Lonchura striata: one gene and its partners. The protein of the gene in region 2 binds, or shares a complex with, the protein of the main gene of each other region. Links are inferred from orthologs where the notes say so. Each region holds a gene or a part of one and is shown on either strand. Other genes may lie near its edges.

Region 1 (9,772 bases), on a different chromosome or scaffold from region 2:
TCACTCAGGCTTTTAACTGAAGGCACAGTAGAGCTGTGCTGGGATTTCAGAAAACTTTGTTGCAACGTATTAAGAAAAACAAGGCTGATTTAGCTGGTGGCTCAAGCAGTTTCCACTGCATCTTGCTCTTTAAATAAAAATACGTGGGTTGTATTGGTAGCACATTCCTACACACCATTAAGTTCTAACATTTGATGTTAACAGGATGCAGCACAAGAATCACAGGACAGCTTCCAGGACAAATCCCATGGATGGGAAGACAGCTGGCATTTGGTGCAGTCTGCTGTACTGCAGGGGGAGGAAGCAGCTGAAACTGTCTCATCCCTAAAGGTGCTTGGATGAGTAATCTCTGATAGTGATGATTTGACAGTTTCCAGAGAAACTTCCATCACAGAAAAAGTAATCATTTCATTATGGTGTCAAATAATCATTACCTGTCTTCCCAGGAGAGCTGTGAGGACCAGCTAATCACATTTATAAAACATTGAAAGTACAAAATGCCACAGAGTACCAATATCATTATTAAAAACACTTGCAAATGGAAAAGGAGGCTGAGTAAGAAATAGAGGAATAAAGCACACTAAGTCATAAAGGCAACAGTTATTATTGGTTTTAATATTCACACCACAAAGTGGGAGAGGAACTTCCACTGCTTTTGAAGAGCCAGACAGAAGCTGCAGGTGAGTCATCAGCATGAAAAACAGATTAATAGGAAAGAAACCCAAAAAAGCGATAGGCCATTACCTGCACTATAATAAGCAGCAGCCAAACCTATGGAGGCTATTCCTAGGGGGAAAGAGGAGAGAATTATGACAAGTAAGCAGCTCAAAAAACATCTAAAATTCCCTAATGAAAAACATCACTTTGCAAAAACAGGACAAATGTGATTGCAACATAGATCACTATATGAAAGTTATTTTTTTCTCTCAGTATTTAAAAAAAACTTCCATTCTGCAAAAGCATTAAAAGCACAGGGGCTGGGGTCAGAAATGAAAATTTTGTGACATTAACTGGGAACAGAACCTCAGAGGGACTCGATCGAACCATGACACCATACTTACACCACACATACTACTCTTAGCACAGTACAACTTAGAGTGCTCACACAAACCTTACAATGGTTATTTTCCCCTTTAAGTGCTATGTGGAGCCAAAAGACAACTTCTGCAGTAAAGTTGTGTCAGAAACTGGCAGCTCTTTTCTCTCAGGGAGAAGAAAGCAGCTGAAGAGTGCCCCATGCCCCAAAGGCTGCTGCAACTGCAAAGATCTTCTCAACAACATCCCTGAAAGCAATGACAACGTGGTGTTACTGCAGTGGGATCTGCTCAGCTGGAAAGCAGGATAGACCAGATTTTCCCCAGCAGCTCTCTCAGTACAATCCTAACAAGTTGATTTTCCCTGCATATTCAGCAGTGTTTATAAAGATGCCTTTCAGAATATCCTGTAGGACTTCCCATTTCATACAGCATGGCCACACTGCAGTTTTCCACTCCTATAAAAAGATGTTTCTCAACCTAACAGCCCCTTCAGAAGCTTCACATTTCTATTGCTGCATGGCACATAAACCTTCTGTTCTTGATCTTTCAGGAGTCTCTTAAAATTCCATCCATGAGCTTCTGAGGTTCTCCAGATGAGACTGAAAGTCTCACAGCGAAACTGCCATGCTGAGGCTTCAGACTCATTTAGAGGCTATGAGAAAGGAAGAGTTCAAAGCACAATCATTCCTCTTCTGGAAAGGAAAATGCCTGGAAGGCAGGCATTTCACTAGGGGCACTTCAGGAGTTTATTGTGACCCTCTTCCCTTAAAGCAAGCTCTGAAATGAATGCTGTGGCCTTACCAACACACAGAGACCAGGATCGGATGCCAGGTGACCTCTTTAGGTGAAGATGGGAATTTGTGCGTTTTTCAACCAACATGTACATCTTCAACAGAAACTCCCAACAGCTCAGTTTGACTCATTAAACTTCACTGGACCAATAAAACAAAAACAAAACCAAAAATTTAAATCATTGACAATTTCACCAGTTTCCCTTCCAGTATTTACCAAGTCTTACTCTAGACTATAAAAGATACTCCAGGGTAAGAACACAGTCTTTTTGGACAGGAAGAGCAATATGTACCCTCAAACCAACCACAAAGTAAAACTGTCATGTTGAGAGTTGCGTAACAACAACAGGAATCTGAACTCTTGGAAGAAAGTTCTCATTTTAGGGGTAAAAGTCCCTTTCTATTGTAATCAGATTCCAGAAGAAAAATGTGAAAAACAAGAACCTGGAACAGCGTTGTTGCTCATTCATGCAGCCCTTCAAACAGATAAAACAGTAAGGGGAATGGAAAGATTCTTTTCCTGTGAGCTCAAAGTGTTGTGTGAAGGGCTAGTCTGGGAGCTGGGCAGGACAGCACAGCCTTCTGCAGCTCTGACATGGGATCCCATCCCAGGAAGGGCTACAGCCAAGCACTGCCAGCATCCCATAATGCCACAGATGATGTCCCCATCTTCCAAGACACCTCAAGAATACAACCAAGAGCATATTTGTCTGTCCTCAACAAGACCATGCCTTCAGCCTAGGCAGAAACAGCAGAGACTAAAAAGGTACTAATTAAAACCAGTAAGAGCTGGGTAATCCCGTGCAGCATTTTCAGTACATTTTTACTGTTTTACAGCATAGCATCAAGAGTTATTTAGGGTGAGAAAGACCTTTAAGATCCAACCACGAACCTAGCACTGCCTGGTCCACCACTAAAACATGTCCTTAAGCACCTCACCTACATGTTTTCTGAACACTTCCAGGGATGGTGACTCCACCACTTCTCTGGGCAGCCTGTCCCACAGAACCAGTTTAAGGAGGCTGGCATCAAGCTGCTGTTAGCTGCCCATGATAACAGGTTTCCATAAAATGCCAACCTTCATCAGGTTTTGAATAACCATGAAAACACGAAGAGAGCAGGTCTGAACACATCCAAGTTCTCACAAAAGGCAAATATGTGATTTTAAGTCCTTTAGTTATCCAGCTGCCCTTGGATACAAGAAGATGCTCCTGCAAATCTGGTAGTGTGGACACAAAGCTCCAGGGGAGCAGATTTAGCCAGGTCTTTTCAGTTAAACAAAAAGCACCCGCGACTTTGATTTTAATCTCTTAGCAACACATCTGAGAGCATCTGAAACCGAAAGAGCCAAAAGCACTTAAGCATGAGACAGGCTCCATCTCCTCCGGATGTCAAGCATCAAATTTTAATTTTCAAATGACTCCTTTGAGTTGTTCTCAATATACCGGAAAATACTTCTGCATCTACAATGCCTTCTCGTGCCTGTTATCAAATCCAAGTTATAAAATACATCAGGATCACTGCAGAAACCTCACTGTATTTAACAAATATTACACCCTACTTAGAACATAATTCTCACAGATACCAGTCAAGTCCATTAATTCAAACTTTGATATCTCCCTCCACAATTATTTAGGGAAGTTCAAGCAGGCAAATGCCAGTTTTGGTTTAATGTTGGACACTCAACATCAGTTCATTGTCTCTTACAGGCTGCTGCTTGCAAGAGATAGACCTTGGAATAAAAAGCACCAAAGCAGCTTCTAAAGTTACATTTAACAAATAAATCATAAACACACCCTAAAGCAAATACTAAAGTTTTACTACAACAATGTTATGATGACAGAGAAAGAGGTGTTTTTGTGCTGCTCTTTAGTTTTATATTACAAAACTCAATTTTGTTTTAATTTGTCAAGTGTGACACTGAACTGTTCTCCAGCATCAAAATAACATTCTCAAGCTTCCTCCAAGCTCTCGGTTGAGAGCAAGCAAAACCCATTGGAAGAACTGAAATTTTCACCCCTTGAAATCTCCACCACCAGCAGCCATCAAGTCAGGACCACACATCAGCTGAATTTTCTTTACAGACCTCATTTTTCTTTACCTCCCAAGCCTGCACCTGCTCCCACCCCAGCCTGGCTTCCCCCTCAGACCCTCCCCAGCCAGGGACCGACCCTGCCAAAACCCACCCACGACCCGCGGCTTTTGTCCCCCCGCGCGTGGGGAACCCGAGGCTGCCCTTCACCCTCACCCAGCCCCGCGCCCGCGGTACCTGCCGGGCTCCAGCCGCCTTCCGAAGGGACCCGCGCCGCCTCCGCGCCCCGCGCCCTCAGCGCTGGTCCCGCCTCAGGGACGGACGGGCGCGCCCGCGGCCATCTTGGGTGAGGGCAGAGGATGCGCCCTTCCCCGCCCGTGAGGGCAGCGCCGCGCCAGGATAATCTGCCAGTACTCAGCATGGCGCAGAGGATGGGCTCTAAACCTCCCTTCCCCGCCCGTGAGGGCAGCGCCGCGCCAGGATAATCTGCCAGTACTCAGCATGGCGCAGAGGATGCACCATAAACCTCCCTTCCCCGCCCGTGAGGGCAGCGCCGCGCCAGGACAATCTGCCAGTACTCAGCATGGCGCAGAGGATGGGCTCTAAACCTCCCTTCCCCGCCCGTGAGGGCAGCGCCGCGCCAGGATAATCTGCCAGTACTCAGCATGGCGCAGAGGATGGGCCCTGAACCTCCCTTTCCCGCCCGTGAGGGCAGCGCCGCGCCAAGACAATCTGCCAGTACTCAGCATGGCGCAGAGGATGGGCTCTAAACCTCCCTTCCCCGCCCGTGAGGGCAGCGCCGCGCCAGGATAATCTGCCAGTACTCAGCATGGCGCAGAGGATGCACCATAAACCTCCCTTCCCCGCCCGTGAGGGCAGCGCCGCGCCAGGATAATCTGCCAGTACTCAGCATGGCGCAGAGGATGGGCCCTGAACCTCCCTTCCCCGCCCGTGAGGGCAGCGCCGCGCCAAGACACTCTGCCAGTACTCAGCATGGCGCAGAGGATGGGCTCTAAACCTCCCTTCCCCGCCCGTGAGGGCAGCGCCGCGCCAAGATGGCGGCGCGCTGCCAGTACTCAGCATGGCGCCTCCGCCCGCGGGTGCTGCTGAAGTACGAGCGTTCGATGTTTCTTTGGTTGTTTCACTTTAGCGGTGCTTGGAAAGAGCAGAAAGCTCGCGTGGCCAGAGGAGTGAACTGCTCCAGGGTGTGTGGGTGAGCCGCAGTGGATGCAGTTGGACCGGGCCGCGATGGGTGAGGTGGACGTGGCCCCTTGCATGAGGGGGTCGGGGAGGGCAGGGGAGCCCCTCGCTGGAACAGGGCTCCCCTGGGGGCTGTCCCCGGGCTCGGGGAGGCCAGGAAACGTCTGGGTTCTCGATGGCAGCACTCGGGGCAGCGCTGCCCCAAAAGCGCCGGTGCTGAGCCTCGGCTGTGGCAGAGTGAGAGAAGCTTTGGGGTTGGAAGGAGCCTCTGTGGAGATCGCTCAGGCCAAACCCTGCTGACACACCTCGAGCAGCTGACACAGAAACGCGTTCAGGTGGGTTTGGAACGTCTGCAGGGAGGTGTTACCGATTTTAGGTGCTCTCTAAACACAGACACAGAGTTTAGTTTAGTACGGAGACGTTTATTCTGCTCAGGATGCAAAGTGGTTTCCACAGATCAAGCACACCAAAGCTTTTAACTACGTACACGTTTCCGCAAACACAGACATTAACGTTCACTGCCTACAAGTTACATAATTCTCTTAATAATTAGTGTTCTGTCTTCTATTGGTTAATAATTCACTTGTCAAGCTAATAAGTCTGCATGTGCAGTCTTTCCTTCTTGTCGGTGGGTTTCTTATGTCAGCGGTTGCAGATTCCACCTGCCAGAATTACCTTTTACCCACTTGGAGCTGATTTCAGCACAGTTGCTGAGTTGGCTTCATTTGTTTCTTCTTATATTGGGAGTTCTTGCCAGATGGCCCCTAAATTCTGAATTCTTTGTGTCCACCGCCAGCAGGCATCCTTTTTTCTCAGACTTTGTTAACCTCTGCTAGGTCTGAAATCATTAAAACATTATCAAGCCCTAGACTTTAACAAGGCAATTTCATCAACAAATAACTTGTTTTTTCTAAAATCTAAACATCACTTATATTTGGAAAGCAGAAATATCAGCGATAATCTTACAGGTCCAACATGAGTTTTCTGAATTGTACATCAGCTGAAGGCTTGGGTTTAAAAATCTGTTATTTGGGGAGAAAAAGTTTCTAATTCACTTGAAATACGGAGTAATTTTCCTGTTGTGGACAAATAGGCTGCATTTGGAAAATCTTTCACGTTTCAGTCAAACATCATTCACATGGGAAAGCTGTTCCTGTTCAATCCATTAGAGCAACTGCTTATGTCAGGCAGGATGGGTGAAGTGCAGACATCTGTCGTTTAGCTTAACTTCTTAAATTATTCTAAGTCAGTGTGTAACTTCATCTACAACTAATATTTGGTCCTGTCTCAGTTGCACAGGAATGTCCTTCCTGGGTGAAATCCTCAATTTTTGGCTTTTTTCCAAACATGAATATATTCTGGAGTGTTTACTCAGGCCATGACATGATAGAAATTTATTTAGCTGTTCTCAACATTAGTCTGGTGAAATCAGTGATTTTCATAACATTCTATAGTGAATATAGGGAAAAAAACACCCCAGAGTCCATGGTAAAGACATTTAAGTGTAAGTACTGGAAAATACCAGCTGATGTGCAGTTTCTCTTTAAGTGTGTTAATGGGAAAGGCAGTGAGGAACTGCAAGAATGAACTGGCCTGCTTGTGAGTCACAAGGTACCAGCTGCTGGATTTGGATGAAAAATAGGAAGTAATAAGTATCACGTGTGCTCAACCCAAACAAACAGCTGACTGATTCTTCTGGGAAGATATTTATGTCTAATTAGCTGTCAATCAGTTTTTATAAGCAACTGGTTTCTCTGGGAACCAAATGTTAAGCTGTTTTAATTGATACAAGACAAAAGGTTTCTTGTGTTATTTCTTGAATAAGCAAGAAATTCATCTGTCCCCTCCACTCAGCATAAACCACACAGCATATGTTTTATTATTATTTTACTAATTGCAAAATTATCAGCAACTCTACTTCTGCAGTTCTTCAGAGGTCACACTAGAATAACCTGATATGACTTAATTTAATTATGAAAGTTACAGAGACGTTTTTTCAACCATGGGAATTAGCACATACATACACAATCAAATATGGCAAGGATCCTTCTAAGTTTCTGCTATCCATTAATGATTCTCACAGCATTTTTTCTAAAATACAGCATTTTTTCTAAAATATGGGGATTTTTCCCCAGCTCTTTGAAGTAGGTGAGTGCTGTTCTGCCTACCAATAGAAAAAGGAAGAATGAACATTTTGAAAGCCTGGGCTTAACAGCATGAATTCCAAACCACTGCTGCAGAAACAAAAACTATTTTCCAAAATAAACAATTCAGGAATATGTGATTGACTATTTGTAGACTTCTTCCTCAACAATGTAAAAATAGATTCTGTGGAAGTGTTTATGTTCTATTTGTGTAGTAAACACACTTGTAACTTGTAAGTCATTGACCTAAACCCAAGAACATGCAGATAGAACACAGCTGGCCTTTATTTTGAATTAGTCTGACATGTCTGTAATTCTGGTGCTTTTTCGTTTTCAGACCATTTCCTTAAATATTCTTTTCTAGATACTTTTTTTTTTTTTTTTTTTTCGCCCTAAGGTCTTAAACTTAGGAATTCAGCTATGCAATAAGCATGTGATGTTACTAAGTGCCAGGATAAATTCCCAGAGTGCTTGCTTGGAAGCAGCGACCAAATGCTTTGGACAGAATTGGCTGCGAGTCCTGTTAGAAATGAGCTCACCCCACAGAAGCAGCTCTCCATGCTGCCCCTGACCTCTGGGAACAGTGTGTGTGCAGCCTGCAAAGCACAGATTTCATGGAATACATGTTCACCAGCTGTAGCCAAGAGTTATTGCCCAATTCTGACAGCTGGGGAGTGGCATGTGCTGTCACTGTGCCATTTACAGCTGGCACTGCCCTGCAGGACAGATGCAAAGCCTGTAACACTTTGCAGTTGTTTGCAACACACTGTTTTCACAGGGAAATTCTTATTTCTCCATTTCATTCAACATGTATCAGGGCAGGGATAAATGTTACAAAGAGCACGAAGGCAAAATACATCAACAGTGGCAATAAAAGAAGTGATGCCTTTAAGTGCTACCTGCTGCTGGCATAGGAAAGGTTTTAGAGATGGAGGCTTTTGGGAAGCAGCCCTGCAAAAGTGGAAAGTGTTACCATCCCCAGATTAAAGCAGGATGGTGCTTTCTTGTCTCAGGGTGTCAAAGATCCACTGTGCTGGGGGAAAATGGCATCCATAGTTCATGGAAAACAGAAAGTGCTCTTGGCAATAAAATAAATGAGACATCTAATTATCTAATGATTTCACAAATATAACTTTATACTGTGCACTGAAACAGATTTCCTTGCACACTTTTCAGTTTGTATAACTTTTAGCTCTTTTTGTTTGAATTTTTAAATCGAAATAAATTCAATCCAAGTATTCTTAAAATGAAGGATAACATAGGGCTATTTAATGTACGTACCTAAGATGTCCTCAATATTTCTGCAAAATGCTTCCATTTCTATGCAGTTCTCTGTTTTTCATTGTGAATACAAAATAAACATGGGAGGAAATTCAGTCTTCTGCCCTTTGATGATTTGCAGAAGAATTGTTTAATCCAGTCCTGTAACAGATGACTAACTTAGTTCACCAGATTCCCATCCCTGGAAACACTCAAGGCCAGGCTGGATGGGGCTTGGAGCAACCTGGTCTAGTGGAAGGGAGGTTTGGACTAGATGACCTTCAGAGGTCCATTTTAAATATGATCTGTGCACTTATAGAAATATATAAAACTGACATGTTTTTTGAAGAATCACTGTATCAGTTTTGGATAACAAATGTAGGTGTAATCAGAGTATGAAACAGGAAGATTTTAGCTGTGCCTTTAAGTGCAAATCTCAACACATTTCTAATTTAGAACTTCTCATGTATCCTATCACCTTATTGGTCAATGCAACTATAGCTGTTGTATCCTGGTGGAATAAGGTGGGAGGTTGGCACAGCTTTTTTTGTATGAAAATACTCATCCACAGGAACAAGAAAGATGTCAGATAATGCTATATTCCAGCAAGTCTGTAGGAAATGCAAATTCTTAGGTCACATAGGAATTGCTCAGGAGTGGTTGTGCCTGTAAAAAGCTTGGGTTAATATGAAATGTGAAAGCATCTTTAATGAAGAGAGCAGAGGCACAGAAAATTATTACCAAAGCTATTACAATTTTTACCTCAAGCCAGGATTAGTGATATTTTTTCCAGGGCATAATGCTGAATAAAGCAGCATTAGCTTACTTTCCTTGAAGTGGTAAGTATGAAAACGTTTCTGTTTGGTTTTATCATGGTTAAGCTGAGGTATTCTTGATTTCTCTGACCTCAGTGATAACTCACCTATAGTCTGAAATTAAAAAAAAAAACCACTATATTCTTCCCTGGGGTTATCTTCAGTGTCCTTAAAACAGAACAAGTAAAGTTCTGTTTTTTGGTTAACAAACCCCTCCGGCTGTGCCTGCTTCCAGCCTTTGTGCTCAAAACCTATTTGTGGCTTAGAGGTCACTGTAGAAGGAGGGGATTTACCCAGTGTTGTAGAAAAGTTGCAGTTTAGGCAGGAAATTGCATGTTTTTTGGAAGTTCTGTGGTTTAATTTATAAAATGTCATTTTACACTTGAATAGCTTATCTGTGTAGCCGTAGGCGTTTGCTTGTACGTGTGGGTTCCTGTGGCCGGGGGTTAAAAAAGGAGCAGAATGTAGATTGAACCTTTCTGTCAAAATCCTA
Region 2 (10,250 bases):
TTCTCATAAAAGGACATCCTCAAAATATGGTGCATTTGGGGAACTTGGACTGAGTTCCTTGGTATATTTGCAAGTCTGTTTAGGTATGAAAGATAATATCTTTCATAAATGTTGAAATTCTTTCTTCATCTTACCGCACTTGATCCTCTGAGGAAGGAGAGCAAGTTTCGACATACTGGCAGCAGAATCAACATGCAATTGAAATTCAGGCAGGCTGCAGGGGCTCTTGCAAGAGCCAGAGCACGCTGTAATTAGAGAGATGCTGCTATTAATTGTATTACCTAAGACATTATCCAGGGCATGGACAGGTACAGATTGCATTTATGCATTATATCATAACTGGTAAAGAGTTCACATTTACACCGTGAATGTTCAAAGGAATCGTGCTCTGATCAAGTCAGAAACAGGCAGAACACACTCCTGCAGACAAACAGACACCTGTTTTCAGTTTTGAATTAATATGATTGTATAAAAAGCTCCCTGTCATGTCTGGCATTCAACAGGCAAACACAGGTGCAAATCTAAGCCATTAGTAGAGGTTTTGTGTCCCAGGGCTGTAAAGAGTCTGTGGTTTCATTTGGTGGGGGTTATGGACAACTTACAAGAGAAGTTCTCTGTCAGTAAAGGAGTCTAGGGAAATTTGTTGCCTCAGCTTTTAGGAATCTGTTTCCCTAATGCTGGCCTTTACATCCTTAATTATTTAAATTTTTTGAACTGTTCAAAGTGAAGAAAAAAATGACCATATTAATCAAAATGCAATGAAGGGAAGAAAAATAATGTTTGCTCTCCTTGTATGGATTGAGACCTTTTAGGTTTTAGAGCACAGCTGTTTGGGTTTACACTGAGCTCTCCTTATCCAAGCACAAGTCTCTGTGACTTCAAAGGCAACTGCATCAGGATTGCAAAGCACAGGATTTGATCCACAGACCAGAAGCCATACGCAGAATGGGATTTCATGCTTTGTAGAATTAAACCATGGTTTTGCAAACCTTCAGCAAAATGCTGTGCTCTGTAATCTGAAGCTTAGGCTGATTTTTATGCCTGTGATCAGGGTTTTAAATATATGAACAAATTAATTTTCCCTGTCAATTGGTCGTGACCTGTGGTAGCTTTGGAAGCAAGTTTGTAGTAGGACACATAATGCTGCCCTAACCAGCTGGATCACATGGAATAGCCCAGGATCCAGGATCACTTCACTACCTGACTACCACTTGCATTCTTGATGAATATATGAATGATGATTGCTTTTCAGAGCCAATATCTTTATAAACTATTCATGCTCTGAAAAATAATTGCAAGGAGAAATGACTGCACAACAGTTCAACAGCAATATTTTATTCATCTTTTGCTTAATAAAGTAGCCACAATAAGTGCTTAATTTAATTACTAGGAACATAATCATTAACTGAAAACATATTTAGAGTGGGATCTCTCTATTATGTGCCAGCTTTCTGTTCAGAAGCACTGAACATCTGCCTGCAGTTATCTGCTTGCATGTGATTTCTACAATAGGCTGCTGCTCCAGCCACTAGATCCAGTTTTGATCAGCTAAAACTATTCAAAACTGCTGTGTTATTATTGTCTGTGACAAAATAATAATGTCTTATACTTACGCCAAGGAGCACTCTGGTGTAGAAAAATTTTGGTGGGACATCATATACAAGATAGTACCACCAAAAGAGGAAGACATTTAAGCCCAGCCACACAAGCTGAAAGAGAATTAAAAGGAAGCTTACAGTTTGTTGTTAGAAATAATCCATCTGAATTTACACAGTTCAGATAAGAGTCAGTTACTTCCCTGTGCTCCTGTTTGCACAGAGAGATGTACTGCAGGGTATAAAGTTTTCAGCAAGGGTGATAGAAATCTTTCTGGTATAAACAGGCTCTGATTTGTGAACACAGGGTACAGGAGTGGCAATAAACCAAAACACAGCAATGTGCAGCTGAAAGGTTTTCTCAGGTCAAGGAATTTAGGGTTGGTTGTATCAGGACTGTCATATTACAAGTGTTTAATTCTGAGTCCAGTTAAATCTCTAAATACCATTAAAGGTTAGGGACTCTTCCAAATGGCAGTTCCACTGGCACATTAACCTATGTGAGAGGAAGACTTGGAAGTTGTGACAAAGAAGCTTGACATCTAAATTTAGATAGGCTAAATTACAAATAGGGCTGAATTCAAGAAGAGGGTCTGAAATCAGCCAGCAGGGAATATTCAACACAGGCCCTTTGGCAGCATGTAGACTACTCCAAACCAGGCTTCTGTGTAGCTGTACCACAGAATTTTCTCACACTTACACATCCTGAGGTGCAGGCTCTTTAGGGAAAGACATGTTATTAACTCTTAGGCATCTACAAGTTCACCTGGCAAAAAAGGTCATGATGAATCTGGGTATTTTTTCTCCTGGAGCTGGTGGGCTCATTTCACATCCCATACCCAAACATATCTATATGACTGCACTCGGTCTAAGTAGTTTTAATAAGTGGTGCATGAAAACAGAGAAAGTCTGAGAACTAGGAGAAACCCCAGAAAAGGTGACATTAAACTTCCTTGCACCTCCTAAGTCATATATTTTGCTAGATTTTTGGCTTAAATAACACTGTAAAAAACACTTGGGATTATTTAAAATACTGAAAATGTAAATAAATACTGGGAAATGAAGGGATTTCCATCAAGGTGAGGCAGTATATAGGAAATCCCCAAGTCCTCATTAAAACACCAAGCTCATCTCAGGATTAAGTGCTTAGGACACTTATTAAAATGACAGAGTGTTTCTGTTTTGTTGAAGTACATCAGTAGGAATCGTGTTTGACCTGTTTCTGTCAAGCAGTGGACAAACCTCTGCCTGTTCAGTGTACAGTAAAGATGTAGAGGCTAAAGCAGAACACTTGGGTGGGGTTTCCAGTGGTCTGTCCTTTTAGCTGATTTCTTTATGTCTCTTAGTTTCCTTCCCTGTTACCCTCTGCTTGTTACAGCTTTGAGGTTCAAAAACCAAATTCCTTTTTTTGAGCAAAATAAAGGCCTCAATTAATTCTTTTAATATTTCAGTTCTGGTGGGGGAAAAATAAAAAGCCAAAAATCTCTTGTCAGTTTCAACTTCCTCAAGTCACTGAAGGTGACAGCAAACACGGTCACTCCCTTTCAAAGCACTGAAGTGCCACAGCTCTGGGATTATGTTTTTAAATTACAAGGTCATGTGCAAGTACTGACTGCTCATAGCAGCAGAAATGCCCCTTGGAATAAAGATGCTCACATTTCGGTCACCAAAAATATACAAATTCTGCACCTTCTTTTTCTTCCTCTCAATATTTACATCTACTAACAAAAGATAATCACAATATCAAAACTGCTCTTACATTTTGGTTTTGTACGTGTTTTTAATACATATATGTATATGTACATATATACATGTATATGTCTAGTGGTATACCTTTATACTGTGACATAAAAAAAGAAAACACTAGAGTATAAACTTAATTTTCTCCAAGGAGGACTGGGATTTTCCATACTTTAAAATCTTGATCAGAATTAATTTAACCTACTTTTGCAGTCCCTCTATGCAAACTGTAAACAAATTCAATTAAAATAATAGCTGTCTTATTGAAGGATTCATGAATGTCTGCTCTAAATTCTTGAATCTGACATTAATAAAAATTTTATACCATCAAGACACTGTGCTTTCAGTTACACCCACTTCTGTTCATAAAAGTGCAAGAAAGGGTGATTGTTTACATTGCTTTCTCTGTTGAAGTGCACATAGTTAAGTGGGTTTTAAAGTTGTTTTGCTTAACTAAAGTATTTCTAACAAAGCAAAGTTAATACACAATAATCTCTCAGTTAGCAATGAAGCCAACAGCAACTGATATACCAGAGAGCTCCTTAAAAATGATTCCCTTGAAGCCTTTCCCTGCACCTGCTGCCCCAGTTTCAGCATAATCAGGTGCATCTTTCACTGGCACAGTGAGAAGTGCTCAGCACAGCTTTCTGTAGAACTTTTCACCAGACACAAATCACAATAAAAATTGGACTTACAACGACGAAGATGGACAGTCCTTCATTCTCCACCCAGTTCCCCATGGCTGCCTGAGATGTGTGTGCACAGCAGCCCTGCTCTCTCTGGGACAGCCTCTATGTCTTCTCTCATGAGGAAGTGAGAGCAAAAGGTTGCAGCACCCTGTTTCCTTTCTTATTCATTTGGGAAATAAGTAAACCATTTAATCATGACCCCAGTTCTGCTCCAAATAGGTGTCTACATCTTCACATATAACATTTCATAACTCAAATACGTATAAACTGTTGAAATAGATTTTTTCATTGTGATACAAAGGAGAGAATAAATTATATAAGTGGTCAGATTTTCTGCTAAAAAATGTATTGCCACTTTATATAACTTTTACAGCTGAAGTGTAACATAGAAAGCACAGAAGAGTTACCTCTGCTCAGACCTGTCTCTTTTTAATCACCTCAGGACTGAGATGCAGATCATGCTGGTCTTTGTTGATAAATAATCACTAGTACTATTTCTCTTCCAGTAATTCAATGTCCATGGAAACTTCGAAGAGTAATCTAACATTCCTTTTTGTCTGGTACATTCAAACCTCACTAAATTCCTTCCAAAATTCCTCTTTGTTCTGGCCAAAGCTGAGGACAAATGTCACAGGAGAGGTTTTTTTTCATGGTTTTGAGTCTTGCAGAATCCCCTTTGTTGGCCATCCCAAATGGATCACAGAATTATAGAATGATAGAATGCTTGGGTTGGAAGGAACTTGAAAGATCATCTACTTCCAAACCCCTGCTATGGGCAGGGAAGCCACCCACTAACTCAGGTTGCTCAGTGCCCCAACCAACCTGACCTCGGATGCTTTCAGGGATGGGGTAACACTTTCAGGGATGCTGGATGTCATCAGAGGGTCTGGTGCCCATATTTTTGTTTATGGAGGTATTCTCTGGAAGTTAAACAGTTGGAGTGGCTAGGGAAGGAGAGGAGGGAGGCAGTTCTGATTCATGGATGTCCATTCTTGCAGTGAAGACAAGCCTTCTCTCCCTGCCCAGGAATGGCAGTGTTCTCACTGCCTTTTTCTTCTCCCTAGCTCAGGGTAAGTTACCTGTGCCCTCTCTAGGGTAAGCCAGTGCGGGTATCCAGGATGCTTTGAGCTTCAGCAGCTTTACCTTGCCTGGAAGCTCCTCAGGCACCACAGCCCCTGAAACGTGGATTTATTGGCTCAGGAGATTTCTGGCAGGCAACAAACCCAGAAGGGGCCGATCTCGGATCAGTCACAGCAGTCACAGCAGTTGCAAAGTCTGAGGTCCTTTTGACAGCGTGAACACAGATAATGGAACAGAATATATTTCAGCTGCCCTCAGCCTAGCAATTATCAAATGCAGTAGCTGATCTCACTGCCTGAACTCAAAAGAAAGGGCAGAGGTGCTGGGCCCTTCCACAGCTGGTGAGTTCTGCTGCTCCCTGATGCTTGTGAGTTTTCTGTTACCTCTGAAAATGACATGGCAAGCACAGCAAACTTTGCCTCTTGCTGCAAGTGACAAATTTGACAAAAAATGATACCAAAACCACCCCCTCATCACCCCTGATTTAATTCTGATTGTTTCACTTTCTAAATTATTGAAATATTTTTGCTATTATGAAAACCTGAATGTTTTACACTTTGTACTTATTTGGAAAATGAATACTGTACAAGGAAAAAACATGTTGTCTGCTGCGTATTAATTATGTAGGAGTGTAAAACTGAAGTATGGAAAAAAATAAATGCTATCTCACTCTGTTTATATAAAATCTGTTTCAAGCTACTTGATTACACAAAGCGTTTTTTCATCCTTCTTTGTGCTCAGAAATTCAGTCAACACTGATCCTTTTGCAGCATGACAGTATTGTAAAAGTATTCATGTCTCAGGGTTCTTCCTTTCCTCACAGTAATTTTACCTCATTGCTCAGGAATTATTTTAGCTCCTCTCCTGCTCTGCACAACAATGGTCTGTGTGTTGCTGCACAAATTTAACGCCAGGTGTTTGCAATAGGCCTAGGGGTTTCACACATGTCCCTAAAAGGTACAATGAAAAATTCTACAAGTAAAAACCCCAAAAGAGAGAGTGATGTGAAGAACAGAGTGAGAGATCCAGCTCCTCCTTCTCCCGCAGCAGGGGGAAAGCCAAGTAGAGACCTTGATTAACCTCTTCTATTTTGAAGCCTGAAGTCTTTATTTTGAATGCTGTGCAATCACTGTTTACCAATCTTCCCTTGATTCTACACCAGACAAGGCACTTGTCAAGTTGTCTTCTCTGAAAAGACTCCACATGCAGCCTGAGGCTGTCACTCTTTGTGTTTGCCTTCACTCCAGGGAATGACATAGCCTGAAACTTCTGCTCTTTCTGTTTTGTTTACAAAATAAATTATTCCAAGCTGAGAGAGCAGAAAAGGAAATGTGAATATGAGCCAGGGAAAAACATGTCAATGAGACTCCAATGACTGGCAGATCCTTCTAGGGCCTCGCTTTACAATATAACTCCCAATGCAGTTCCCTGCTCCAGTGCTTCCTCACACTGACTTGCAGTCATCGTGAGAGGCCCATGTGTTGTATTAAAAAAAAAAAAAATCAATGTCTGGTCCAGATGCTGCTTGCCACACTGGTCTTGCCTTGAAGTCAAGCGGCACCACCACAAAATGGGCCAGAATGGCTGCACACTGCTGTGTTATTGGAAGGAAGAGACACCACCAGCAACATATCCTAAGTGCAGACAGAAATTTCATCTCAGTAAGCAGGCAGTAGTTTCCGGGAAGAGCTGGACTAAAGCTGCAGCAGCATAACCTCCCATGTATAAAGGCAAAGGTAAAATTAACCTGCCTTTGCATAGGACTGAGGGAGGGGGAGCCCAGATGGCATCCTTTGGACAGGGTACCAGTTTTATCATCTGCTAATGTGGCTCTGGAATAAAACCATCATCTGTTTGCGAGACTGCTCTTCCCAGGGCTGCAGATCCACTTCTTTACACTTGCTGGGGATAGCCCAGGGTAACTTTGCTCTGCCTGGAGAGATGGACTCCACCAGCGATCTCCCGCTCAAGAAAACACCTGGAGGGATGTGCGAATAGGTTCGGCAGTGTCTCCTGTGCCCGGCTCGGTGGTTCAGCAGCCCCGCGGTGCCACCCGCTGGCAGCGCCGGCCCCGCGCCGCTCACGGGGGAAGGAGCTGGAATCCTGCTCGGTTCATCCCAGCCTCTCCCTCCGTATGCACCCGCCCTGGTGTCTCCTCTCCTGCTGTATCCCTGCTCAAAAACGCTTTCCTGCTTTTCCCTTTCTCTTCCAGCGCTGCGCTGTCAAATCCCATTTCTAATTAGCAGCTCCTGATCACAGCCTGGGAAAGGACGTCCAGAGCTCCTTAGCTCACTTCGCTCTTCCTAATAGGATCTGCTGCAGCTGTATTACTCCTGGCACACGTTTGCATCCCCGTTCCACAACCAGAAATAAAGGAGGTGCCTCCCAGCCTGCTAGAGCTGCACTGTGGTAGCTCATGCCATGGTTTCAGCAGAGCTCCACATCCACAGAAATATTCCAGCATCCCCCTTCACGCCCAGAACAGCCACCAGGTGTGAACACCTCAGTGCCCAAACCCTGCAGCACAGGACAACACTACAGGTCTTTACAATGCTGCAGTTTGTCTTCTGAAATACAAAGGAGTGCTGTGATAATTCTTTGGCTGATTTTTCTCCCTCCCAATCCTCAGTGTGGAGGTGTGGGGGTGACCCAACTCTGTCAGCAGATGACTGTCCACAACCAGACACCTGACAGACACAGACTTGGTTTTATGTTCATTTTCAGTAATATCAACAGAGGAAACACTAAGGAATGATGTCAGGCTTAATAGATGTGTCTAAGCAAGATAAAATTATACAATAAATCATGACACCAAGGAAGAGGCTTTTGCTTTAAAATTATCCTTCAGCTAGATTACTAAAAGAGAGTTCATCCTTGTGCCCAGATTTAAAATGAAGCCTATATGATCCTAAATCATACCTAAATTGCCTCTTATTATAGAATTACACTGTTCCAGCCACACAACTGCTGGATTTATATGTTTCCCTTCCTTCATTTTTCTTGATAAAGCTTTTTTACTTTATGATTTTCCCTGAAAAAAAAACTTGGGCATTTGCCTGAGACTATCTCACCTCTATCTGGCTTAAGTGACACTTAAGAGAAGTTTGGAAGTATCTATCCATCTCTTTGGGAAACTCAGTGAAGACACAAATGTCTGATAATTGTGTGTCCATAATTTAGGAATTGCACTAGGATGATTTTGTTCCAGGTTAAATTACCACTGGATGAGTAGTTACTAAAGCCTCCTGTTGTAGGACAGTTTACAGCAGTTTATTCATATACACAATCCCCTCCCTCCTGGCAATTTTAGCAGTTCCAGAGAAATCACTATGAAAAACAAAATTTCAGTAAGGGGGTTAGATTAGGGACTACAATTTCCACAATATTATTTATCAATTTGATTTCTTGTATTTATGACTTCTTAAGTTTAGATAGTTTAATAATATTCTGTTATTTTCACTGCTCAGGCTTTCAGAGGAGCAGCAATAGGCTGGAGGTACCTAATTTCTTTCAAAGTCCTGGAGGACTTTGAGATCCTCTCACACAGTTTTCTGCCAAAGCTTGAGGAGCTGTGTCCACTTTCATCAAAATCACAGTGGTTTACTGCTAGTTACAGTGACTTATGACACTTTCTTTTGCATTAAGGGACACAATGTCATCTCACTGAGACTTTTGCTACCTGGCAGGGAGAGTCTGCCAAATCATACTCCAATCCTGTGTCAGTATTTTTTCTCCTCATACAAATACACTCCTATACATGCTAAAATTGCATTTAGTTTTCTATTACACTAGAACTTATTTTAAATGAGTGATACGCTTAAGACTATAAACAGTTTGTTGTTTTTAATTTTAGATTTCCCACTAGTAAAACCTGCCTTTCTCTGGTGATTTTTTTTATTTTTTTGCTTGAAGAGACAACTGCTCACTTGCTGTTGTGCCCTGGGAAGAACAGTGATGTATGGGTTATTAAGATAGCAGCTTAAACACATAAGCCCTTGACTGCTAAAGGACACTATAGGGAAAGTGATTGATAGTTGATGGCTAATGGATTCCTGCTTGGTGCCCTTGGGGGCTTCCATTGCATTTCGGGCCAATGGTAGATTACAGTGAAGAGTCAGCTGTCTCAGGCATTAGAGTTGTCTGATGAGTTAATGCTACAGCACTCTGAAGCCCTCCCTGAATTTGCCTTACCATCACTCCCCATGGTACAACACCAACATCCTTGCTGAGGCCCACATTTCATGGCTAGGCAGGAGTAATTTTTCACTTATTACACTCCTTGCCTGTTCCCACATGACAGCTTGTCTCCTGCAAAGTTTTCCTTTTTCCTTTCCTCTGAATCTGAGGAAGCTTGGTTAATTTCTGATTCACACAGCCAATAGCACAGGCAGCGTCCCAGCTTTCACCAATCAATTCACTTTTACCTTTCTGTAAAGAACAGAAAGGTTTTTTCAGCACATCACATCTTTTCAGCTTATGAAGAAAGATCAAAGCCGGAACCATCCAGATGTGGTTAAAAAAACTACCTGACACATTGCATGATCCATTTTTTTTCTTCCCATGCATAAGGAAGGTGGAATTGTGTAAGCAAATTGCACATAATATGTCAGTGGTAATATTTCTGGTCTGACCATTAGCACCGAAATTGCCTATTTGTGCTCAGATGCAGAATCAGACTAACGTGTGTACTACAACATATATCATACAAAAAATACACATATAATGACATATTTCTATATTTATATGTATTTCATGCATACAAATACATATAGTAGACATATAATTAAGACTACTGGTATTAAAGTAGTCAAACAAAAAAGAATAGATAATGATTTTTTTAGCATGATGCTATGTCCAAGATCAGGATGACCTTCACAGTTTCTGCTTCACTGTGCCTGGATTCCTTTCTGGGGTTTTCACTATTCCTCTCCAAGAGCATCAGTGGAGAAATCTAGGCTTACCCTCAATGCAACATGTTTATGAGTTGCCATACACATTTCCATAGGTTTGCAGTGACTTTTTTTTCATGAAATATTTCTCTTTCTCCTGTTTGGTATTTTTTCTTGTTACTTAAAAAGAAGGGCAGGGAAGACCACAATATACATGATGAAAAAAATTTAAACACCTAATTATTGTGCTTTTGTAG
Region 3 (10,485 bases), on a different chromosome or scaffold from region 2:
TTGACAACTGAGCTTGAAATATTTTAGAACAACTGTCAGGATTGCATGCTTAGGAATAAAGTCTTGGTAGGAAAAAAAAGGATAATAAAGCAACAGAGAAGTTCCTACGCTCATCCTAGAAAATTTTATTTCTTGGTCCTTTTGGTTCTTTTTTCCCAGATTAAGGGAAACCAGTGATAGGGAGGAACCACCACAAAGGTCTTATGAATGTGTTCATGGCATCTGCACGTTAGAAGGGACATGATTTAGTAGAGGGCCTGGCAGGGCTTGGCTAGTGGTTGGCCCTAATGATCTCAGAGGTCTTTTCCAACCAATTCTGTGACTCTGCTCCATGCAGAATCTATGACTGTTTCAATGACAGCAAGTGCTTTGGACAGAGAAGGAAGCAGGGTCCCATGTCCATCCATCTGCCTTCTCTTGGGTCTGTCCCAGTTGTTGTAACCTAGTGTCTCTTTGTTTTGGCCAGTAGGATCCCATCTGCTACTTGTAAACTTAGCAAGCAAATAGACCTTGAGTTGGCTGGAGGCTCCCAGATATCCCATTTACACCAGGGTTGTATAAGGTTGCTTCTTGTGAAAGGTAACAGATCCAAAGTTAGAGAGCCCTTCACTGGGTTTCCTCTGCTTGGCATGGAGATTGTGACCCATGGAGTGCACATGACATCACTGAGCCCCTTCACATCCTGCCTCCCACCCACTCCAGGACCTGTTTATGAATTACTCACACAGTGGGGATGTATTCTCCTGGGAAGGCATTGGTGGTATAACTGATAAGGAGACAGGTTTTTCCCACAGCCCTGGAAGAGAAATAAAACAATGGCAGGAATTCATGGCAGCGCAGGCAGTCTTGCTAGGGTGAGATGGAGATGGGGCAATCCTCCCACACCTCTAGCCTAGCTCTATCTGGAGACCTCTGGAAGCAGAAAAACATTCACAGGGCTAGACAGTGCACAACAACAGGTTAGAAACCTGGCAGGAAGAAAGACAGGATGTTGCCCAGAAATATCTGTTGTTTTTGAGCATGAAGGCTTGTTTATGGTCTAGTACAGAGATTACTCAGGTAAAACACATCCACTCTGAGATGGAGGTGGGAGCCCATTTTACAGTGCATGCAGAGTGCTGTAGGCTCTCAGCCAGGACAGGTGTATTGGCTTGGTGTGCCATGACAAAGCTGCCATGCCAGCTTCAGCACTCGAGTACAGGCACTCCTGCCTGCTTTTCAGCTGCTGTGGCCAGGAACTGGAAACAAGTCTTTTACTCAATCTTTCTTATCTACAGCAAGCTGCAGCAACACCTGCACAGAGAGCTGTAAGGAGCCAGAAAGCTGCCTGCCCCCATGGCTGATGGAAGTTGCTGGTGGTGTTTCTGAGATAAGAAACTGGTGCTTCCTCTCTCCTCAGCCTCCCCCACAGCCTGCTGCAGAAGGGTGGAGTGCAAGGTAGCAACACAGTGCAGACTGTGTGAGAGCATTGGTGGGATAAGGAGCAATAAGGCTATCATGTGGGGGAAGGTGCTGTGGGCAAGCTGAAGCCTGTGGTGAGGGAAAGAAGTGCAGAGAAACTGGAAGAAAATTAAGCAGCCAAGACAGGTGTTGGAAAGGAAATCCTTCTCCTGCTGGGATGCTGTTTCTCAGGTTTGTGTGGCCTAGGAAAGCTTGGCCCTTTTTCAGTTACAGAACACAGGCAGGTGATAGCAACCTACCTCAACTAGCACAGCCCAGAAGTGGGGAGAGGTCTTTTCTGGGCAAAGGTTGGAATTCTGCTGCTGGAGACTCTCAGACCATCTCAGCTGCAGCTGCAAAGTCCCCTACCACAGGGCTGCAGCTCTGCCTTTTTGTGTGCCCTTGTCAGGTCTCAAGGCACCTGCCTCTGTGGCTGGCTGCGGGGCAGCTGAGGGGGAAGCTGAGCTCTTCTGACATTTGTTTCTTCCTCCTGCCAACCCCCTTTCTTAGATCCTCCTCTCTCAAACCCTGCACTTTCCCCAGGTGTCTTGCTTCCTTCTTATGGAGTTACTGAGGGAGGTGAAGCTCTACAGGAAATGCCTCAGGAGATCGATGGGCCTGTGAGTGGCTCAGTCATGGATGAGGGGGAGGTTCTGAATTTGTGTGCTTGAACAGAGAGCTGTGCAAAGGGTCAGTGAAGGGGTGAAGGTTACCACACAGAGGTGAGGTTAGTGGCATCTGCAGGCTCCTGTGATTGAACCCAGGGCATGTTAAGAGGTCAGTGATCTGTGATGGAGCGGTTATAGTGGGAGAACAGCAATGGGACAACACGTGAGCTGAGTGATAGGAGAAGGTCCCGTAGTTGTTAGGGTTGAGCCAAGAGGGTGACATTGCTGGCATGGCCAGGAGGGAGGTGAGGGGTGAACCAAGAGCTCGGAGCAATGGGGGTTGTGTTGCAAGAAGGTGAGAGGTGTACAGAGAAGCAAAATGATGAGACAGAAGACATTTAAGAGGAATTGAGGTCCTAGACATTGGGAGCAGGGCTGTTACTGAAAGGTAAGGCTTTATAAAGGCTTTACCTATTGGTAAAACAGGACATGTGGTGGGGTTAACCATGATGTGAGGAGATGCTGCCTTGAGGGAAGGCTACACAGTTGGTGCTCTGTGTGAGGGGCAAACAGGATGGGGAATTGGGTAAGAGATAAATGCCCAGTGGAGATGTTAATCCAGCTCCAGTTTAAAGCCTTCAGGGACCTTTCTTAGAGGTTACAGTTTTTATTTGGGGCTCTGTCTTTCCTCATGCCTTCTTCCCACCCCCTTGCCCCAGCCCCTGAGAACATGTCTGACATGTACGGGTATGTGTGCAGACATCTTTCCCAGGCAAGGTCTAAAGAAGGAAGTGATTGTAGGGAGCAGCACTGCTGTAAATGTCTCTTTATCTACTACCTTACAGCTGCCCCAGATAAGTCTGGCCAGCTTCTAGGTGGAAAGAAATTAAGTTATTCCATTTCAAGCACAGACTCTCCTCCTTCCCTCCCTTGCATTTACTCATCCCACAGGGCAGGAAGGTGCTCTGCCCACTGTATCCTTCCTGCCCCAGGCAGCAATGACTACTTAACTCATTGAAGTCTTGGATCAGGCCTTTTCCAGGCATCAGGGGACATGGGCAGAGAAGCCACCATGTTGTGAAGGCAAGGTTTTGTTAGCTCCCACTCCCAAAGTGGCCTATACTTTTGCCTATCTCAGTAGAAAGAGCTCCACAGAGGGCCCTTTCCAGCAGTCTCCAGCACACCCCAGTACGGAGCTAACCTGCTGAGAAAAGCTGGAGATCCTGACAGACATCTTGCCAGGACCAGAGTGCCATGCCCTCTCCCAGTCATTCCCAGTGAGCACATGGCTTTCAAGGAGCCATTCACCTGCAGGAGAGCACTTGCACCTGATGGGTTTTAAATCCAACTCCTGCCTACAAGTTGAATCTGGCAGGAACACCATCACCTCCTGTGTGTGGGACAGATCTGCTCTACTTCCCATGAATGCAGATGGAAACGCAGATGCATGAGCAGCACTTCCGTGCAGATGCCCTGCGAAATGCCCTCTTTCCACGCTCCCTCAGAAGAATGTCCCTTGCCCCGGGGAGGGAAGAGCGAGGATGTCTGCAGTGGTAGCAAGCCTGCAGGAGGTCAGAAGCAAAGCGGGGCCAGCCTCAGCAAGCATCCACTGTGCTCCGTGCCCCGGTCAGAGCCCGTCCCGCCCGCGCCCCCCGCACCCCGCACGGTACGTACCCGTCTCCCACCACCACACACTTGATGGCTTGCATGGCTCTGACCCGTGGCGGAGGACGGTGCCCGAGGCAAAGGGAAGTCAGGCCAAGGCAAACAGCAGGGAGGGATGGGCAAGTGTGGGTCTGCGGACAGCAGGTTGCAGGGAGGGAGGAAGTGGAAGAGGGAACTTCTCTCGATCGCCCTGCGCTCCCTCCGCCCCTCCGCCGCAGCGGAGCGCGGTGGCAGAGGCCGCTGGCTGAAGGCGGGGCAGGCGTGACTCCTCGGCCGGGGTGACGGCTGCTGTCACAGCTCTCGTTCTCCCTGCCTGTCTCACCCGCTCCCTTCCCACCTCATCCCAACGGGCAGCGGGGGGCACCAAACTGCTTTCCCAGGGGAGCTGAACAAGGGTTAGAAGCGGGGTGAGCATGTGGAAGGGTGGGTTTTCTCCTCCCTCCTTTATCATCCAAGCTTTGGAGGAGGTGTTAGCAGGGAAGGGACTCTGAAGTGGGAGTACAAGGGTGATGAGGGGTAATGAAGGTTTTTCAGGTCTTCACAGAGCCCCCAAGTGTCAAGGGTGAAACATCACAAGGAACAATACTGTGAAAGCTGAACAAGGAAGTCATGCAGCCTCTAGCAAATAGCTGCGACCCAATGGCTGCTCTGTTCCTCCTCTACTGTGGGCAAAAAAAGTATTGCTGCACTTACTTACCTGCCCAGACTACTAGTACATCCTTCTCTTCTTCAAGCTGAACAACCCCAACTCTCTCAGGCAGTCCTCACTGACCTCAGAAAAGGTTTTTAGAGCTAAGCATCGAGAAGAAGAAAGCAATCACCCTAAGAAAGAAGAGACAAGAGCAGAATGATCTCAGGAAGCTCTACTCCTTTCTTTATTGAAATGAGGGTTTGCCTCCTCTTCCTTCCTTCTCCCCCCATGCAACATAAAGCCTCAGAAAGAGTTTATGTGTGCACATCTGGGTGGTCCAGCCTGACCCCATGAGTGGATGGGCAGGAGATGGGTTTTATAGAAGAGAAGATATGGTGGCACAGAATTAATTAAGAATTTCCAGGCTTTGCCTGGAGACCAATCAGAGCAAGAACAGTGGTTTTGCAGCTGGGATGTTCCTGAAGGAAGGAACTCTGAGTAAAGCGCTTCTCCAAAGGCTGATGACCTTTGTGCTGTTGCAGCCACAGGAAGCTGTTGTGACTGACCTGCTCTGGAGGAGAGTGCTCCCAGCTGTCACTCAGTGCTGGCTACAGCCCAGAAACCTTCAACCATGGAATGTTAACAAGTCTCGTCACTATTTCAGAAGTACAAAATGAGCAGCTGTACGAGGTGTTCCCTCTGTGGGTGGTAGGGAAACGGGAGGAAGGAAACCCTCTGACAACTCTGCAAGTGAGGGCAGAAATGGCACACAGGAATCCAGGTCAGAGAAGGACATAAGAGAGAGGGACAAAGGCTTTTACAGAGGGGAGCTGGAAAGGACAGGCAGGCACAGAATATATGAACTCAGTTGGAAGGCAGGTGTATCAGGCTCTAGAGAATGCTACTGGTGGAAAGGCAAAAGCCATTCTAGGACCTGGTGGCAGGGATAAGCAAGGACCACTGACCTGCTGAATGCCTGAACACCAATGTTTACTTTTGTCCTGGTAGTCTGGCACATGTGTTTGTAGGACTGGCAGTGTGGAAGGGACCAGAGAAGATGACCAGTTTAATTGGTCAGGGAAGAGGGACTGTTGTGGAGAACCCACATACAGATGGGCCCGATGTCAAAGACACTGTAAATCTGCATGTCCAGCAATGAGCTATGAAGTCCTGTCAAGAGCCCATTTCTGGGCAAATTATTTTTGCAAGATAATTCCCTGCAACTGCAATGGACAGTCAGCTCTTGTCCAGTCAAAATCTGTGCTGTGAATCTATAAACATCCTTCCTTCACCAGCAGCTCTGTAGAGGGACAACAAGGATCTTTCAGGATGTTTCTTTCCATCATATTTAAATGGGATTAAATGGGATTATTTGATAATGGGAAATTGCACTCAACATGTACAGTAATCACTCTAAGAACAACTGGCACCTGCTGCATTAATACCTTTCATTTGTACATACTGCAGGAAAAGGAAGGAACCTGCAGGAAACAGGCTCATAAACCTGGACTGAGCATATGCAGATGTGTTGCTGCTGCTCTGATGTCCTCTCACACCACCAAGAGGTGCTCTTGACTTGAGTTTCCTTCTGCATGTGCAGCAGGGCAAACATCTGTGGTTTCTTGTTCCCTTTGCTGAGTTTGAGGGAGATGCTAAAGGGAATTAATTGCTCAATGAGACACTTTTGTTCTGGGAGGTTTTCAGGGCCCTGAGCTGGGTCACCTCAGAGCGACCCGGATGTGCTGGGTTTGCATGGCACCCATGTGAGACTGCGGAGCAGGGATGAAATGCATGATACTGCTTTTCCCCAACAAGGATCCAAAGCAGTGAGGACCACCTATCTCTCCCTCTCTTTCTGTGGTGTTTTGCCCCCTCAAAGATGATGAAATAAAAGTAAGGGGGCTCTTTCAGAAATGGTACTTGCATATCACAGCCCTGTAAAGGAGGGCAGAGGCTGAGCAGGAGGCTTGTCCTTGAGCACAGACAGAATAGCAGGGAGAATTCCTTCATGGAGGCAGAAGAGTGCTCATTTCTTTGCACACACAGGACATGGTCACAGCATGTCTTCTCATCTCCCGGGATTTTTTTTTCATGTGACCTTTCTCTCAGGCAGTCCTGAGTGGCCATGAGAACTGTTCTGTGCATTGGGCGCTCATCTGGGTAAACATTAATTTGCTTCAGCCTGACTGGACTGCAAACTGTCCCACTTCCTATATTCCTATTTTGTTCCTTCCCACTTCCCTTTTTGACACAGCTTCATATCATCTGTCTCCTGCTTTTAGTTCTTGCTTTGCTGCTTCTCTTTTCCAAAATTCCTACTCCCTGTTGCTGCTTCCCCTCCCCCGTCACTGCTGCGGTTTCTCAGACTGCCACAGTTGCTTAAAAAGCCTGTCTTGACTTAGGAGCTCAGATCAGAACTGAAATGGGCAATGATGTTCTGCAGTCCCTCTTAGAGAGGCTGTGGAATTGTTTCATACAGGGTCTGTTTTCTGATGGGGCTCTCTTCTCCAGCCTAAATTTTTTCTATCAGACAAAAGCTTAGAAAAAGAATGAAGTTTCCAATCCAGCCTCACTGAAGACACTGAAGCTATTTACATCCATCATAAGCAACTCAACTTCCAAAAGTGCTTGCTTAGTTTTGCACCTGTCTTACTCATGGGCTGTTCTGGAGACCAGCCCTACTGTAATCAGGGGGAGGTGGTCCATTCCTGACCTTTTGTTGCTATTGGACAAAAAATGAGTACACAGAAGCTTGGTAAGTTCAAAAGAGAAAAAGACACAGTTTTATTCAAACATCTGGTATTTATAGAATTCTGAAGGTTACCGTGGATTGGAGAATGGAATTACCACCTCTCCAGCCACACTGGTCCAAAGATCAATCAATCAATCATTTCTCTCCACCCACAGAGAAATATGTAAACTATTCTATTTATATATGAAATTGTGTGGGAACTCTCAAATATGTAAACATTATCAGAAGGCTAAAGAAGTTTTATGAGAACTTTAAAACTTTCAAAAGAACTATAAAATAAAACTTAACATTTTAAAAATCAGGGCAACAGCCTCGTGTCATGGAGGCTTTGTCTTCTGAGTGTGACTGCTCCCAGCCTTTCCACTTTGGGCCAAAACAGCAGTTCTTCTGCCATCTTCCTACCTGGAGCACTGAAAGGGGTTCACCTCCTCCTCATCTTCATCTTTTCCCTTATGGATCTGAGTAAGCAGAAGAGCATGGCACAAACCTTTAGGCTTCACGTTCTTTGTGATGGTTGTTTCATACTTGTACTTCCTTCAGTTGAGAAATTGTTCACAGACGCTAAGCCTTACTAGGGTTTTGTGGCTTGGCCTTATCTGGTTCTCTGTACTTCTGCAGGTCCCCAGCGATGCTGATACGGGTTTCCATTTGCAGAGACATTTTACTATCAGCCAGTGACAACCCCCATCTTGCTGATATGAGTGTGCCACTTTAATGGCAATAAATACAGATCAATATCTGATTGTGCATTCTTTCCCACAAGGTGCTTAGACAGGTGAACAACATTTTTCACCTGCCTGTTGTAGAAGGTAACAGGGACTAAAGATTATATGTATCAATTCAAACTTGAGTGTCAGCTGCATGACTAGATTCCCCTCCCTGCTAGCACTCTCTGTATATTATCAGATGTTAGATATACTGTGTTTCATAAATACAGATCTAATACATATCTTTGCTTGTAAGAGATGATGTCTTCTAGGAAGGCTGCACCAGGGAAGTGAAAAGAGCTGTTTAGAGTACTAAGAAAATCTATAGCTACTCTGTTTTACAAGACTAATATTTCCTGAACTACCAAAGTAAAATCTTGTGCTTCCCTTCCACCATTTTATTTCAAAGGCATAAAGCTTCAATCTTGCTGCACTTTCAAGTCTAACAAAAAAAAAATATAAATTCCTCTGGCTCTTCATTCAAATTTATCAGACTCTAAGTGACCCTTCTGTAATCTTTATAAGAGGGTTTCTTCTTGCCTATGGCCTTTTATAATCACCATCTTTCTACCTTTAAAATAGACTCCAGTCCCTAAGCCCAAACTGAATGGCAGCCTAAGCCTCCTGAAGGGGCTATTGAATTTGAACAGACCTGTACATTGTTGCTCTGTGGAGACTTGTGGGAATACAGTTGACATGTTCAGCACAGAGAGATACATGGCACTTTGTCCCTGCCTTTATCCCCTTGAAAGCAGTAGGAAATATTTATATGTCCTTTTTATTTACACAATTATTTTAAGCCTGTACCAAGCATCAGAAAAGTGCATGCACATTATTGGTTTGATATTTTCCATCATGACCGTCAAACAACAGATATTTCCAGCTCAAATTTAAGTTTTTGTGTGCAGTCAGGGAGCATCTGGGGAGAAAAACTGGTCCATTTCACAGGCGGCACAGGGAGTAATTCCTGGAGTACTGGTCTGCCCATGCTTGATGAGGTGAGAACTGTGGAACAGCCTGGATACCCCCTGTGGGAGAACCCACATGCTCTGAGCCACTGGCTATGGGCAACTCTGACCACACTGTACAGCATTTAAACCTCATTTTCCCTAGGATACATTTGATCCTATATCCCAAGGGCATAATTAATTTCCTTCTTTCCTTTCTTTCCTTTCCTTTCCTTTCCTTTCCTTTCCTTTCCTTTCCTTTCCTTTCCTTTCCTTTCCTTTCCTTTCCTTTCCTTTCCTTTCCTTTCCTTTCCTTTCCTTTCCTTTCCTTTCCTTTCCTTTCCTTTCCTTTCCTTTCCTTTCCTTTCCTTTCCTTTCCTTTCCTTTCCTTTCCATTGTCCCCCCACCTTTTTTTCTTGAAATAACGAAAGTTCTGTTTTGTAGTCCATTCATGGCCTTTTCATGCCATGACCACAGAATATGGAACATGTGACACCTTAAGGGCATTTGCTGACACATTCCTGGCTGGGGTAGTGTTGGTATCCATCTGAGCTGACTACAGCTCTGTATTGCCTGTCTGGGATGCTCAAGTAGACTGACTTCTCAACTGGTTCAAGTTTCCTCAGGAGAAGAACAGATTGTATTACTCCATGGTAAGCCTAGAACTGAAGTAGTTGGTCCACCATGAGAATTAGTGGAGGACTAGGGACCACAACAGAGAGGCATATTTTCCCTGAACTTTGGAAAGAATGGGAAATACTCTAGGGTTTGTTTATTTACATGATCTTGTCTGTTGTGTACCCTCATGAGAAAACATCTCACAGGTGCTTTGTTTTCACATGACATAGACTCAAGCAGTTTTTTATCAGTGCATTCCCCACTCAGACTCCTCTGTCTGCAATAACTGAAAGCATTTGAGGTCCATCAAATGTTACAAGCAAGGCTACCAGACCCAGAGGAATGCAAGTAGTGGAGGTGATCATTAAACTGAAATAGGAGCAAGGTCTCCAAACAGGGCATTCAGACATTCCAACAGACAGGCGGGAAAAGCTTTGAGAAAGAAACACCAAGGAGCTAAAAGATGAAGGAAGTATGGAGGAGAGACACAGGGCCAGGTTTTGTACTCTGCTGGAGTGGCTGAAAGAACTTCTGCAGTGTATACAGACATGCATTTTGGTGTTGGCAGGTCTTTGTGGTTTGATCTGCTCACACAGATGCGTAAGAGCAGCCCTGACCAAGCTGCCTGTATATGTCTCCTACCTTTGTGGCAGGCAAGATCATGTAGGTACAGAGTTTGTGGTGACTGGGAGTGGGGCTGTGACCAAACCTCATCCTGAATGGGCTCCAGATGTGATAAGCAGGTGAGCAGCATTGAAAGCAATGAGCCTCGGGCATCACCAAAGGGAACAGAGGGCACACAGGTGCAATGCATGAACATAAGTGGTATAAAAGGTCGGGCTTAAGAGCAAGAACGGCAGAGGCTTGCAGTCTTCTGAAGTGAGCTGATGTTGTTCTGTGTGGGTTGATGCTTTCTGGAATTGTATGGTGCTACCCTGTGTATCACAGCCATCTCAACTGTGACATATGCTGTGGCAAGATCACATCTTTCTAGTGAGTACTTTAGGTTGACATGTCTTGATGTCAGCTGCAGTACTGCTGAAACTACTTTTTTGTAGAAAAGAGTGATGGAAGGAAGGACTGGAGGTTATACACCAAAACCAGCTCCAGTGAACAA

The links.
Region 1: the proteins of CYBB (region 2) and CYBC1 are in contact, whole or in part, in a cryo-EM structure (PDB 8KEI), measured with the Homo sapiens proteins. The link is inferred for Lonchura striata from reciprocal best matches to the Homo sapiens genes CYBB and CYBC1. Residues at the interface, in NP_000388.2 of Homo sapiens: Trp28, Asn74, Leu75, Leu76, Ser77, Phe78, Leu79, Arg80, Gly81, Ser82, Ser83, Ala84, Cys85, Cys86, Trp206, His210, Phe212, Pro266, Met268, Trp270, Lys271, Ile273, Tyr280, Tyr324, Phe326, Lys328, Leu335, Glu336, Trp337, His338; in NP_001028218.1 of Homo sapiens: Arg22, Leu26, Ala37, Ser41, Gly42, Asp43, Trp47, Phe50, Tyr51, Phe57, Gln61, Asn62, Glu64, Lys77, His97, Asp98, Gln99, Val100, Val101, Val102, Leu103, Arg108, Ser111, Glu115, Val117, Arg118, Tyr119, Phe120, Arg129, Ala131.
Region 3: CYBB (region 2) and RAC2 share a complex: the UniProt entries of both Homo sapiens proteins name them as parts of the phagocyte NADPH oxidase complex. The link is inferred for Lonchura striata from reciprocal best matches to the Homo sapiens genes CYBB and RAC2.

Annotation. Positions count from the first base shown.
Region 1 is NC_134621.1:2,916,986-2,926,757, reverse strand, and holds the start of CYBC1 (cytochrome b-245 chaperone 1), read right to left. Parts: upstream 4,237-9,772; 5' UTR 4,098-4,236; intron 1,970-4,097; 5' UTR 1,924-1,969; coding exon 1,839-1,923; intron 787-1,838; coding exon 745-786; intron 1-744. UniProt on the Homo sapiens protein: Functions as a chaperone necessary for a stable expression of the CYBA and CYBB subunits of the cytochrome b-245 heterodimer. Controls the phagocyte respiratory burst and is essential for innate immunity.
Region 2 is NC_134604.1:108,559,306-108,569,555, reverse strand, and holds the start of CYBB (NADPH oxidase 2), read right to left. Parts: upstream 4,213-10,250; 5' UTR 4,076-4,212; coding exon 4,031-4,075; intron 1,710-4,030; coding exon 1,614-1,709; intron 246-1,613; coding exon 135-245; intron 1-134. UniProt on the Homo sapiens protein: Catalytic subunit of the phagocyte NADPH oxidase complex that mediates the transfer of electrons from cytosolic NADPH to O2 to produce the superoxide anion (O2(-)).
Region 3 is NC_134607.1:23,190,550-23,201,034, forward strand, and holds the start of RAC2 (ras-related C3 botulinum toxin substrate 2), read right to left. Parts: upstream 3,852-10,485; 5' UTR 3,758-3,851; coding exon 3,723-3,757; intron 797-3,722; coding exon 725-796; intron 1-724. UniProt on the Homo sapiens protein: Plasma membrane-associated small GTPase which cycles between an active GTP-bound and inactive GDP-bound state.